Linked DNA regions of Diceros bicornis minor. The main gene of each other region encodes a partner of the protein of the gene in region 2 in a complex. Links are inferred from orthologs where the notes say so. Each region holds a gene or a part of one and is shown on either strand. Other genes may lie near its edges.

Region 1 (5,936 bases), on a different chromosome or scaffold from region 2:
ATCGACTCCAAGTGTCTCCACTTCACTCCCAAGGACTGGAGCAAGAGGGGAAAGTGGTGACCAGGCACTGCCTGTGGCAGTGCCAACAAAGCCGGCAGAACTGGGGCTGACAGCCCATCCCACGCCCACTGAGGCCCCCAAGAGGCACACCAAGGGAGACGGGGCTGAGGACAGCTCCACAAGGAGGACAGGCCTGGTAGGGGCCAGCTGGTACCCAGCACCGAGGCGAGCTCAGGGCTCAGGTCAACTCCAAGGTCAGCTCGCTGCAGGCCCAGGCCTGCTGTGAACCAGGGACCAGAGAGAGCCGGGCAGCTGTGTACAGTGAGACAGGCGTGGGGGTGCTCTGTACAGAAGGCTGGTGGCTGTAAAAATTTCTTTTGTAAAGTAGGAGTTGGGGGTGGGGTGGGTACTGGCTGCTAAATTCTGGCCTCTCTTGCCCCCTGGCAATAAATTGTTTGTATAGGTCAGAGTCTCTTGTGGGAGACTGGGCAGTGCCGGCTTAGGGGCTCCAAGATGCTGGAAAACTCACAGGTGCTGTGAAGAACTCGTTTATTGGGGTGATGGAATCAGTGGCTCCGAAGTGAAGAGCTGGTTAATTGGGCTGAAGGGATCAGTGGCTTTCAATTTCAAGCTCTGGTTCTCAGTCCTCGGGCACCTGTGAGTGGATCTGCAACAGGAGTCACCTCTGCTATTGGATTTCTGAGAGAGCGGCTGGGTAGCTCACATACTTGGGGAGGGACCCGGCTGCTCTGTGATAGTCTCTTCTAGACAGGCCAGAGAAGAGTGCTGGGGAAGCCACCCTGCCCTTGCCCAGTCCAGTGCTCCAGCAGACCCGGGCTCCATCTGCCCCACTGTACTGCCCAGGCCGAAAGCCCCATATCTGCTGAGGAGCAAGATTCTGGACAACCCAGGAAATCACCTTGAAGTCAGAAGGGGAACGGATGGGGCCTGGGCGGAAGGGGACCATCCATCTACTCACCGCTGCAGCGAGGCTGGGCCAGGTTAGGGCCCCGCGCACTTTGGCATCCGGGCCGGGGATGGTCTCCAGGCCCCACAGAGTGAAGCGGCTGAAACTAGCAGTGGCTCCGATAAAGCAGTCCTGGGGAAGGGGCTCGGCTCAGCACGGGGGCCGCGCTCCCGCCCGCACCCCCTTCCAACCCTGTGCCCCTTTGCTCACGAAGTCCCGCTCCAGCGCCTCCGGGGGTTCCACCAGCTCCTGCTCGTCGTCATTTTCCGGAGCCTCCGAGAAGTCCTGCTTTTCTTCCATCACCATCACGTATCCCACGAGGCCGGGCGGCAGCACCAGCTCCTCGCCCCGTAGTTTGCGGCCCCGAAACGACACTTCGAGTCCTGGAGAAGGCAGGCGCAGCGCCTTAGTGAGGGCCTGATCCAGGCCTTGCGGGGCAAGCCCGGCGGCGGCCCTCCGCCACCTCCGGTGGACTACGATCCCCAGGAGCTCTCGCGCCGCTCCTTGCCGAGAAGAGCGCGGCGCCGGCGCGGGGGCTGCCGGGAGCCGTAGTCCGGCCGCGAGCGCTCACCGGCGGGACCCTGGCGGATGGCCGGGGTGAAGAAGCGCCCCACGGGGGCGGGCTGGTTAACTGGGACCTCGCAGGGCAGAAGGTGCAGCGTGACGGGGGCGGCGTCGCGGAGCGAGACGGGGCGTAAGTGGATGCGGTGCTTCTGGACGGCTGCTTCGTCACTGCTCTCCATCCTCCGGCGCGATTCGGTTGCTCGCTAAGTAAGGCCCAAACTGGCGCGGAAAGCGCGCGGAGCCTGTCGGGAGCCGGGGACAGTCAGCGCAGAGCCTCCTGGGAAGCGTAGTCCTTCCCTGAAGCTCCTCTGCTACGCCCGGGTCTCTGTGTTCAAGTCTCCGCTTTTTTCCCTTGAAAATTTTTCAGTTGTACATTCTTACTGTAAAAAAATTAAAACGATTCCCAGAAGTACACTTTTTATGTTGATTGGTAGGGAGTTTGTTTGTTTTTACTAGTGATAGCAGCCCTTCCTCAAATGTGTTGAAGATATTTTATCCGAGTTTGTAGCTTGTCTTCTAAACCCGTGTATGGGTGATTTTTATTACACAGAAGACTTTTATTTTTCATAGTCAAGTTTATCAACCTTTTATATCTCAGTTTTCTCAGTGCTCTCGTGTGTGTGTGTGTGTGTGTGTGTGTGTGTGTGTGTGTGTGTTTTCCCCCCCAAAGCCCCAGTAGACAGTTGCATGTCATAGCTGCACATCCTTCCAGCTGCTGTATGTGGGCTGTGGCCCCAGCATGGCCGGAGAAGTGGTGCGTGGGTGTGCGCCCTGGATCCCAAGCCCCGGCTGCCAGCAGCAGAGCGGGTGCACTTAACCGCTAAGCCACAGGGCCGGCCCTCTTTTTTGGTTTCTTAAACTCTTCTCTACTGTTTATTTGTTCAGATACCTAATTTAGATATGCTTTGTCAAGTTCTCTCATAAAACAAAACACATACAAAACTGGTGATCAAGATTAAATTGCATTTAATTTAGATTTGAGATAGAGAAAAACATCCCTGGCATCCAGGAGCTGGCCTTGGTGTTCTGTTGAACATGAACGATTTCACAGATCATCAACATCAGACAAAGTCCCTCTGTGACATGAGGTATCAAGACAAAAACAAGATCACTGCGAAATCACGTGAACACCAACAAAGGCACGAATATTGTCCAAACCACAAAAATGAGGAAACATCCCTCTTTCTCGGAGAATATATGTGACCGTTGCTTCTTTACCAATTACAGCTGTAGCCTCTGTCTAGTTAAGATTTGTTAACATATCCCATCACAGAAATCCTCCCACTTGCTGACAACATCCAGTCCAGAGAAAAGCCCTGCTTCCTTAAACCTCCCTAAATCACCTAACACAAGCCCAAATCCTATAAATGCTTCCTGACCCCCCTTACTGAGATGCCCCACAGTACGACAGTAGTAAACCCATTTGTTCAGGTATGGATGTATTCCTGGTGGTCTTTGGCTGCAGAGTATCGACAATTTAATTTAGAGTCTTGCTTTGGTTTTCTATCAAGAATGAGACACCTAATACCATTTATTCATATCCCCTTTTATGTCTGTACAGTTGTTTTCTTCATATATAATAGTTATTATATATTTTAAAGTTTATTCCTGATAGCTTATATTCATTTCTATTACAAATTAGATCTTTTTTTTCTTAATTTTATTTTCTAACATTATTATTTATCTATAGCAAAGCTTGGCAAACCTCACATATGCTCTGTGTCACAATTTCTCAACTTTGTCACTGTAGCATAAAAACAGCCATAGACAATATGTAAATGAATAAGCATGGCTGTGTTCCGATAAAACTTTATTTGCAAAAACAGGCAGTGGGCTGGATTGGCCTGCAGGCCATAGTTTTCAAGAAAGCCGTTGATTCTTACAATTAATTTTTTACTTGGATATCTACTCAGTTCTTTTGCTATTCCTGAGAGTTTTCATTTTATTTTCTTGGGTCTCCCAGAGTTAGTCATCTCACTTCCAAATAATGATAGTTTTGCCTCCTCATTACATCGTGTAGTTTGTTTCCTTTTCTAGCACTGTGGGAACAATCTCCAGTCTTACTAGTATCAGTGGACATCCTTTTCTTTTTCCTGAAACTTGCATGAGAATGCTTTTGCTGTTTCACCAATAATCAGGACACTGTCTTTCGATTTGTTACATGTCTCATTAAAACTGTACTACTCAGGGTTTTTTAACTCTGGAGTAGCTATTGGATTTTATTTTTATGTATTTGATCTTGTAAGTTTCTCATAGCCTGGATTTTAGTGATTGCATTCCTGTATTGTCGTGTTCATCTGCCCTGTATTTCCTGTAAATTAGTAATTAGATCTAGAAGCTTCATCAGATTCTTTTTTTAGGGGGCAAGACTGCTTCAAAGGAGGTGTGTGTTTTCCAGCAGGAGGGACATAATACCTCGTGTCTGTCTTTTTAGCAGCCATAGATGATGATGGCCTAGATCCTTTAATTCATTAGAAGTTACAAAACTGAGATTCGAAGTCCGCCACTTTGTCTTCATTTACTAGCTGGAATACTTCTATAAAGAAAACTCCCCCTCACCAACTATTTGGTTGCCCATTGGTATGGTGAGTACAAGAAGGGCAAAATAATTGCTTGATTTTTTCCTTTTATGTCCCAGTTTTTAAAATAATAAGTTGTTTCCCTAGCATGCTCCAACCGTGACCTTTAAAAAAAGTATCATTATTAAATATTGAATTTTTAACATTTTGATATGTTTCAGTTAGTTGTGGTTATTCTTCTTCTTGATGCTCAAATTGTCCAATCTGTTGCCACTGGGAGCCTCTTCCAGTTAGCACATCTTTTGATGTGACCCTAGTAGTCTTTTATAGGTTTCCTTGTTTTCTGGAACCACAAGATGTCCCTGGCTCATCTACTACAGTTCCTGCCCTAGACTTGGAATCATCCATTTCTCCAAGGATCTCTGGTCCCTTTTGCTAGGAAATGATATTTACTAATCCAATCTGACACCAGATGTGCTCATTGCTACTCAGTTGGCTATTGTTTCTAGATGTTTTCAGTGAACAAAGCTAGGAAATGTGTATTTCGTGCTTTTAAAGAGAAAATACCTCATGAGTTCATACTGTTATTTCTAGGACTACAGGGTTCCTACTAACCTCATTGCTCTTGCATTTGTATCTTGTTTCTGCACGCTACATACACAACAATCTCAGAAGAAGAACGACAACACTGTAGCTAACAATATGATGATCAAACACAGTTTAAGAATTTTTTTTTTTGTAGTTCTTTTTTCCCTTAAGGTATATTCCACTGGAGATGTACGATCAAAGTACTGTTTTTTTGTGTGTCTGTGAGGAAGATCGGCCCTGAGCTAACATCTGCCAATCCTCCTCTTTTTTTGCTGAGGAAGACTGGCCCTGGGCTAACATCCGTGCCCATCTTCCTCTACTTTATATGGGACGCCACCACAGCATGGCTCCACGAGCGGTGCGTCGGTGCACGTCTGGGATCCGAACCGGTGAAACCCGGGCCGCCGCAGCAGAGCGCGAGCACTTAACCGCTTGCACCACAGGGCCAGCCCCTCAAATTACTGTTTTTAATCACTTGAAATAGTTCTCTCTGTGGTTAGACCACCACCTGGATACATGGTTAGGATCAGTTTCAGTTTGCTTTTAACTTTTTGAGATAGCTTTTTAAAAATTTACTTTTGCTTTATAACTATGTGATTATTTACATGTTTCCAAAGTCAAATCTCTTGTTAGTGCCGTGGAGTCGATTCCGACTCCTAGTGATCCTGTGTGCAGTGAGGGAGCCCTGCCTGCTCTTCTCGAGCCATCCTTTCGTCCTCAGGCGCTGTATCCGACACGGCTCCGCTGGTAGTCATGGGGTTTTCGGAGACAATTTTTTCGGAAGTTGGTATTCAGGTCCTTCTTCCCAGTCTGTCTAGTCTGGAAGCTCCACTGAAACCTGTCCCCCATGGGGGACCCTGCTGGTATTTGAAATACTGGTAGCATAGCTCTCAGCATCACAGCAGCACGCAGCTGCCACAGTATGACAGCCAATGTGATCTGGTTCTCTGACTGGAAAATGAACCTGGGCGGAGGCGGTGAGAGCACCGATCTTAATCACTCGCCCACCACAGGTCAAACCGACAAAGTAAGATATGTTTAGAGAAACCTACTGCCTCTCCCTGCCTCCTCTCTGCCTCTCCCTGGCAGATATATTTAGAGAAACCTACAGCTCTCCCTCCACCTGTTCTCTCCTGCCCTTTCTGAGAAACCTTGAAAAATATTTTAGTTTATCTTTCCATTGTTTACTCTTTTAAAGTATTAGCATAAATTTATGTATATTGAATTCAATTTCCTAATATTTTGTTGAGGATGAACCTATGTTCACGCTTGATCAGATTCAGGTGCAGTTTTTTTTC
Region 2 (7,815 bases):
GCTCAGCCCTGCAGGGCACGTACCAGGCGCCCAGTAAGCACTGAACGCTGGCCAGACTGCCTTTGGCCCGGACCTGGTGTCCATCCTTACTTTGGCCTCACCTAAGTTCCAATCACAGACTTGCTGTGTCACCCCACCCGACGGCCACTCCCTCCCTGTGCCTCAGAGGACCCAAGGGTCCCTTGAATCCGGCCACTGAATCTCACATCTGCCCTTGTGTGTGTGCGGGGTGGGGGACACGATTGTCTCCACTACACAGATGAGACTGAGCCTCATAATGGAGAGAAAACAATGGATTTAAGCTGGCGCCCCTCACTCCTGCCCCTTCACAAAGAGACAGAGGCCCACCCTCCCTGCGGCTCCAGAGAGCCAGCATCGAGGGAGGGAGACAGGAGGGAGCCTGCCAGCTGGGACCCAGCTCCGCCACACACCGGCCGTAACCAAGGGGCCCCCAGCATCCCCCGCTGCGAAGCGGGGTGAGCAGAACTTAGAAAACCTCAGCAGCGTGCTGGGCCTGTCCGTGTCACCACCGCTGCGGCTGCCTCAGGGCAGCACGAGGCGGGCCGGACGGCCACCTGCTCACCGTTGGGGTAGCCCGAGCCATAATCGGCGTCCAAGTCCTGCAGTTTCTCCACAAACTGCCAGTTCCTCACAGCCTGGTCTCGGGCCACCTGCAAGCAAGACAGACACTGGGGACCTCCCTCCCCCGAGGCAGCCACACCTGCCCCCTGCCAGGAGGGTGCTGGGAGCCGGCCACGGCCAGCGGGGGACTGACCTTGGCACAGATGCTGGCAGCGCTGACCACGGGGTAGAGGGCGTCGGCCTTGGCCTTGACCGTCACCTCAACGCCGGGAAAGCGCTGCTGCAGCCGCTGCTGGTACGTCTCTGGCATCCCCACGGTGTCCACAAATACCTGCCGCGGTGACAGAAATGTATCCATTCAACAGACAGCTGGAAAAACTGCAAACAATCCACCTTCCCAGTCTTCGCCCTCGTTGTTCCCGCCGCCTAAGACACTCTCCTCTCAGCTCATCCCCAGGCTGCAGCTTTCCATCAGGGTCTCAGCTCAGACGCCACCTCCCACAGAGGCTTCTCTGATCACGCCGCAGCCATTCTACATTTACTGAGCACCTACTGTGCGCCATGGGCTGCTCTATGTGCCAGGGACATGCAGGGAAAACGCCAGACAAAAATCTCTGTCCTCCTCGAGGGGACACCTTGGTGAGGACCACAGACAGGAAACACGGTACATAATAAAGGATAAGGCAGAGTCAGAAAGGGTTATAATTTTAAACAGTGGGGGGGGAGGTTTGGGGAAGGTCACTCTGAAGTGGCGACATCTGAATAAAGGCCTGAAGGAGGTGAGGGAATGAGCCACATGGAGATCTGCAAAAGAGTGTTCTAGGCAGAAGAAACAGCCAGTGCAAAGGCACTGAGGTGGGACCACGTCGAGGATGCTGGACAGCAGTACGCAGGCCCTATGGCTGGAGCAGAGATGAGGTCAGGGAGGTAACACGGAAGGTGACCTCCCTAGCACTATTGTTCTTAAATCACCTTTTTATTTGCTCATCAGCTGACCACTGTCTCACCCGACTGGCCATGAACCCTGAGAACAGGGCCCTCGTCTGTCTGCTCCAGTACTGTCTCGTCAGCTCCACAGTCTAGTCCTGGACCTCAGCCACCTCGTCAGCAAGGTCTCCCTTGTTACATTCCCCGTCTCAAGTGTATTTGTCCTCATTAGTCTCTCAAAACAGCCCGTTCTTTGCCTCAGAGCACTCGATGCAATGCCAACTTATATTTCTGGTAATTTAATCTCATTCTCCCCTACTTGCCTGTGAATTTTCCTGATTTAATTTCCACCGTGATCAAAAAATTAAATGTCGAGATTTACATTTCAAAAAGATGACTGTCTGCTGCTGCTGTGTATGGAGCAGATTGCAAGGGAGGGGGCTGGAGGTGGGGGGATCAGGGAGGAGGACGGGGCAGGCATCCGGGAGGCCAGGGTGCCCTGGGCAAGGACAGAGGCTGTGGGCAGGTGGACAGATGTGGGATTTGTTCTGGAGTCTGAGCCTTTAGGATACAGAGATAGATTAGTTGGGGGTGGGGCTGGGGGGTCTACCATGGTGCTCAGTAGGGCACACATTTAGGATGGGAAAGCAGCAGGAAGGCAACAGCAGCAACAAATGTTCCTGATCCGTCTGACACTGTTCCAGATATGTCTGACGCTGAATCAGCCACTGAACTTTTATACCGTTTTATCTGGAGCTGATCAAACGAGGGCAACCCAACAGCTCACCTTGGCGACCTGCACGCCCTGGTCCAAAGCATACTGCACCAGCCCGGCGGCTGTATCATGGGACAGAGAGTTCAGATTGTATTTGACCCTGCAGTGAGGACAGAGTCCAGTTAACCCCGTCCCAGCTACCGATCCCTGCCAGCCCATGCTGGCCGCCCCTCCATCCTGGCCCCTCCTAGGACCCTCACCGCCCAAGCATGCTGGTAGAGATGAGGTTTGGAGACAGCACGTCCAGTGCCCAGCCCACAAAGTCCCTGTCCTCCTTCATTTTCGCGAAGAGCCTGTCCCGCTCGCTCTCCGACAGGGTCTTTGAGTCTGGGAAGAAGGTTGGGAGAGAAGCGGAGCGGCTGGTTCTTCCAGTCCCTCCCCGAGCCCCACCGCGCCCCTGCACAGGCCCAGGTACACCCTCCCCAGACGTGCACCTCGGGCTCACCTGCCACTTTCAGGGCCTCCAGATCTGCCAGGCGGGACAGGGGGCAATAACAGATGGCGTAGACCATGGGGCCTGGGGAAGCGGGGGGTCCAAGCAGTGAGGCCGTGAAGGCGGCCATCCCCGTTCCACCACCACCACTATCACCCCCGTCCCCGGGGCCGGGGCAATCCCGGCTCCCGTTTTAGTGCAACTTGCATCCCCCTGACCACGCCCCTCCCCGCCCCGGCCCTGGGGGCGCACCCAGCACCGGGCCCCGGCCCGCTTCATCGACGCCCAGGGCGCAGGGCTCCTTGCGGCACACCGCGGGCACAGGCGAGCTCAGGCGACAGCGGCCCGTATTGTCTCTCTCCAGCTCGCTGAGATCCATGCCGCCTCGGCCGCCGCCACCAGCCGCAGCAACCAGCTCCGCAGGGGCAGGTCTCGGCGCGCGTTTTCCGCGGGCCCCGCAGCGGCGCTCGCTCCCGACCAATCGGCGCGCAGGACACGCCCCCGACGCTCCCGCCGCCGTGGACGTTGGCGTCGCCGACGCCTACGCCGCTGCCTCCTGGCTTCCTGGGAATTGTAGTTCCCAAGGCCGACCGCCGAGCTCCACGTTTGGGGAACCGGATGGGTGGGGTCGCTTTCTGAGCTCCGCCGCGGGGTCTCTGCAGCCTCGCTCGCCCGGGCTGGTGAGAGAAGGAAATAAACCCGAGATGAAGGCAGGCTTTGCAGAACCCAGGCCAGTCAGGGCCTAGAAGGTCAAATACTACTGTCCTCCTAGAATACGGGTCTCCGCATCACTGGATCCCTGTCTCCCACGTGCATTCAGGCCGTTTGTACTCGGGATCGCCGCCACTGCACACAGTCTAAGCCCCCTGGACTAGGTATCACTGCCCCCACTGGGCTCAGGCCTTCGGACTTGGGGTCTGCCAATTCCCTCTCTCCGTACCTCACCCGGATCCCCACTCCCCCCGCCCCGCCCCCTGATTCCTACCCTCTCTCTTTCGGGCTAAGCCTCGCCTACCCCGAACCGAGACCCCAGACTCAACAGATCCTGCTCAGAGTCTCTGCCCCCCACGCAGGCTCATATCCCCCAACTCAGGGTTCATTTCCCCCCTACCGCCCCTCCGACCTCACCTCCCCTTCTATTCTCTAGTCTCAGGGGGCTCACGTCCTCGGCCTGTGGGTCCCTGCCCCTCACCAGGCTCATGCCCCTTCCTCAGGGTCCAGCTCCTCCGCCTCCGTTCCCCACCCCACCTTCCTCGCGGAATCAGCGGGGCTCACATCTCCTGACTCAGCTCTCCCCTCCCCCACCACCCTCTAGCCCCAGACTCAGGGCCCGATTTCTCCTTTCCTCTCTTCCTGCCCACCCTGGGGACTCGCGGCGCCGCACTTGCCGGCCCGCCCCGGCCCCGCCTCCTCTGCGCCCGTCTCTCACCCAGGCTCAGGGCCTCCAGTCGCAGTCCATCGGCTTGCAGGATGAACAATCCCGTTGCCTGCAGGGCCGCACCTGCACCAGGTTCTCGCGGTCCATGAACACCGGGCCCAGGGCTGCGCCCACCACCTCGCGGCTGCGCTCCTGCTTGCCCACGTCGCACAAACAGCGCCACTTTCCCCACGGGCCAAAGATCGAGTTCTCCACCTCTAGGGATGGAGAGCCAGGTAGAGGGGATCTACTCCCATGCCCTCCTCTGGGGAGGGAGGAGGATAAAGACACTAACAAATAACAACAGCTCCTGTGTGCTGGGCTCTGCCTGTGTCAGGCACCCCACCATAGATTGTCTCATTTAATCTTCCCATTATTCCCAGGTGGGGAAACACACCTACAAAGACAAAGCCACCCTTCTGAGCTCGCACATCTGGTGAGGGGCCCAGACAGACTGCACACTGACACTTCCCACTTGTGCTAGCCTGCCCAGTTGGGAGTGTGGTACAACACCCTTGGTGGCCACCATCTGAAGCTGGCTCCTGTTTCCAGGGGCGTGAGCATGGGCCTGTCCAGCGGGCACAGTGCCGCCTGACCAGCAGGGCTGCCAGGTGGTAAATTAAATGACATAATTGGCATAATGAAGGTACTTAAAGCTCCTGGCCGTGGGCTCACACGTAGAACAAAAACAATTATTATGATCACATTTCAAGCAGCTACAAGTTATTTGAAGCGGTTATTCGATGCCCTTTACAATGTTCTTTTGCTGACTCCTCTATGTGTCCTATGAGACAGTCTTAACCCAACTCTGTGGCTCCCAGAGTCCTGACACCTCAGGCCCTCCCCAAGCCTCCGCCAGACAATAATGGCCACTTTCCATCCCTCCTTCAGGCCTTTTGGCCTTAGCACCTGCTGTTCCCACTCTCTTGCACACTCTTCCCCCTAAATCTTTGCATTTTTGGCTTTTGCTTGTCATTCTGGCTGCAGTGGTCACCTATCTTTTTTTTAGCGGGACCTTCTCTAACTTCAGAAATGTACCTAACCGTGAGTTTACGGATGTGTCTGCTCCGGTATGTCTCACCTGCCCACGTCTCCTTTCCCCCTGTAAGCTGCTTACGGGCAGTTTCTATTTCAATTTACAGATGAGGAGACTGAGCCTCAGAGAAAAGTAACCAGCCCAAGGGGGTCCCGCGTGGGCGCAGCTGGGCAGGGATTTGAAGTCCCCAGAGAAGGGTCTGTTTGCAGCCAGCTGGCGAAGTGGGGCAACGGGCACCTTTCTGCACCGTCACACCCGCGGCCTGCGGTTACCTTTCTCCTGATGCTGCAGCCGCAGCTGCTCCCAGGTGTCGCCTTCGCCCTGCTCGCCAAAGTAATGGTAGTCGGGGGAGACCTGGGCAGGGGTCGCCAGCAGCAGGAGCATCAGAGGCGGCAGCAGTAGCGCCGCTCGGCTCGGGGCCATGCCGGACTCCAACCGACCCCGGCGCGCTCCGAGGAGGAGCCCCGCGCGGGGTCCGCGGTGCCCGCCCGATCCCCGGGGGCGGGCGCAGTGGTGGGGGCCCGCGGCTGCGCGCTCCCCCCGCCGCCCGCAGGCGCGTGGACCCGGCCGGCTCCGCTCCCCCTCCCCTGCGGTTGCAGTGGACCCGACCGCTCGGCTCGTCCGCCCACCCCCCGCCCTGCGCGTCACGGTTCCGGCGGCGCATAAAAGGCTCAGCGGCCTGGGGCGCGCTTGGCGCTGAGAACGCGAGCTCGGGTGTGTGCTTGTCCGTGCGTCCCGCCCTTGCCCACGCAGGTATGGACACCCGGACTGCACGGTCTTGGGGGGACCTTTTGGAGTAGCTCCGGCCCTCTCTAGACCTCAGCGCTGGCCGCCTTTGTTTCCTGCCCGCCACAGTGGCCGCCTTTGTCCTTGCAGGGGAAACCGAGGCCAGAGCCTTGGCGTACAGGCCGCATCGCCGAGTTCCCGCCCCCCGCTCCCGGGGTCCCCTCCCTGGGCGGTGGGCTTGCGCCACCGCGCTCGGGCCGACCCACTCGTGGCGGGCCCTGCGGCCGCGGCCGGGCCACTCGCGCTCTGGCCAGGGGGTGGGTCTCCCGCAGCCTCCAGGCGGCGCAGAGCCGATCCCGGGAGGGTGCGGGGACGGTGCTGCCGCCTCGCCGCTCGGCCTCGGTCACCGGCCCAGCACGCAGCGTGACCTTGGGGAGGGAGGACAAGGGGTCTGCCCGGGCGCACTGACCGGGCGGGGGTCTCAGCTTTCAGTCATGGTCTGCTGCAAAGCGCACATCGGAAAGCCCGCCCCGGACTTCCACGCCACCGCGGTGGTGGATGGCGCCTTCAAGGAGGTGAAGCTTTCCGACTACAGAGGTGAGGGCGGCCTGGAGGGGCCAGGTGGGGGCGGGGCCCAGGCTTTAGCGGTCTAACTCCCCGTCTGTGCGCCCCCGCCCCCAGGGAAATACGTAGTCCTCTTCTTCTACCCGCTGGACTTCACCTTCGTGTGCCCCACGGAGATCATCGCTTTCAGCGAGCGTGCTGCGGACTTCCGCAACCTGGGCTGCGAGGTGTTGGGGGTCTCGGTCGACTCGCAGTTCACCCACCTGGCTTGGTAGGAGCGGGGGCCAGGTGGGAGAGTGGGAGAGGCTAAGCTTACACCTCTGTAGGGCCCGAGGCAGCTGTGGTGCCTCCCTTTCCCGTCTTGGAAATGATGATGGCAGTAATTAGCATTGGGAAACTAGTTGCTGTGTAGAGTTTCAGATGCTTTCTCTCTCTTGGGGCAACCCAGCCTCCCTCCCAAGCACTATTTCAAGAAGGTGGAAACTCCAGTTCAAGGGAGTGAAAGGCCAGGCCCCAGCACGCAGAGCTAGAGAAGAAAATGGGGACTCTAAGGCAGGCTGTCTGCCTCAAGATGCTGGAGGCCGCCAGCACGTGAAGCCACTTTGCTGGAGCATTAGCTTAGTCTTCCCAGCTGTGGGAAACCGCCACTTCAGGGTGGGGTGGGTGAGGCTCCCAGGGCCTCCCTCTAAAGCCCCTTATCTCTCGCCTCCAGCACCCGCTCTCCAGCCCTTATCACCCCCAGGCCCACAAGGTGAGGACCCTGCTGTGCCAGGCCTCTTGAGGTCCTCGCCCTGTCTCCCCCACCCCCAGGATCAACACCCCCCGGAAGGAGGGAGGCTTGGGCCCCCTGAACATCCCCCTGCTGGCCGATGTAACCAGAAGCTTGTCCCGCGATTATGGCGTGCTGAAAGAAGATGAAGGCATCGCCTACAGGTACCGTGGGGCCTTCAGGGAGCCCCCATCCTCACGGCGAGGGGACCACTGTTGGACGATACCCTCCCTGCCCACAACTCTGTGGCTGGCAGACAGTCCGTGCTCCCTCCCCTGGCCCTAGCAGTGGGAGCTCCCAGCTCCTCACCATGAACGCTGATATCTTCAGGGGCCTCTTTATCATCGATGGCAAGGGTGTCCTTCGCCAGATCACCATCAATGATCTGCCTGTGGGGCGCTCTGTGGACGAGGCTCTGCGGCTGGTCCAGGCCTTCCAGTACACGGACGAGCACGGGGAAGGTGAGCAGACACACACATTGACGTGTGTTCACACACGGGTACACGCTCAGCCCCTCTGTCACTCATACCTTCACTGCTCGATCACTTGTGTGGGCTGGATGTGGGGGCCCCAAAGAAGAGTCAGC

The links.
Region 1: the proteins of RNASEH2A (region 2) and RNASEH2C are in contact, whole or in part, in a crystal structure (PDB 3PUF), measured with the Homo sapiens proteins. The link is inferred for Diceros bicornis minor from reciprocal best matches to the Homo sapiens genes RNASEH2A and RNASEH2C. Residues at the interface, in NP_006388.2 of Homo sapiens: Thr11, Asn99, Ser102, Thr103, Leu106, Gly107, Arg108, Val109, Val196, Glu197, Lys198, Leu199, Glu225, Pro226, Val227, Phe228, Gly229, Phe230, Pro231, Gln232, Phe236, Leu245, Ala249, Glu250, Asp251, Val252, Ile253, Trp254, Glu255, Asp256; in NP_115569.2 of Homo sapiens: Pro33, Cys34, Glu35, Val36, Ala37, Val38, Ala42, Pro43, Val44, Gly45, Arg46, Phe47, Phe48, Pro50, Ala51, Arg53, Ser62, Phe63, Arg64, Gly65, Arg66, Cys67, Leu68, Leu134, Glu135, Thr136, Lys143, Gly146, Ala147, Thr149.

The regions. Positions count from the first base shown.
Region 1 is NC_080770.1:7,504,647-7,510,582, reverse strand, and holds RNASEH2C (ribonuclease H2 subunit C), read right to left. Parts: upstream 1,741-5,936; 5' UTR 1,711-1,740; coding exon 1,539-1,710; intron 1,351-1,538; coding exon 1,178-1,350; intron 1,100-1,177; coding exon 980-1,099; intron 668-979; coding exon 641-667; 3' UTR 533-640; downstream 1-532. Other genes in the region: histone acetyltransferase KAT5, read left to right, coding at 1-60.
Region 2 is NC_080769.1:4,554,131-4,561,945, forward strand, and holds the start of RNASEH2A (ribonuclease H2 subunit A), read right to left. Parts: upstream 3,114-7,815; 5' UTR 3,097-3,113; coding exon 2,970-3,096; intron 2,802-2,969; coding exon 2,730-2,801; intron 2,612-2,729; coding exon 2,485-2,611; intron 2,385-2,484; coding exon 2,297-2,384; intron 914-2,296; coding exon 776-913; intron 672-775; coding exon 584-671; intron 1-583. Other genes in the region: THSD8 (thrombospondin type-1 domain-containing protein 8), read right to left, coding at 4,153-4,352, 5,443-5,593; PRDX2 (peroxiredoxin-2), read left to right, coding at 6,391-6,493, 6,578-6,731, 7,271-7,393, 7,515-7,690. UniProt on the Homo sapiens protein: Catalytic subunit of RNase HII, an endonuclease that specifically degrades the RNA of RNA:DNA hybrids. Participates in DNA replication, possibly by mediating the removal of lagging-strand Okazaki fragment RNA primers during DNA replication.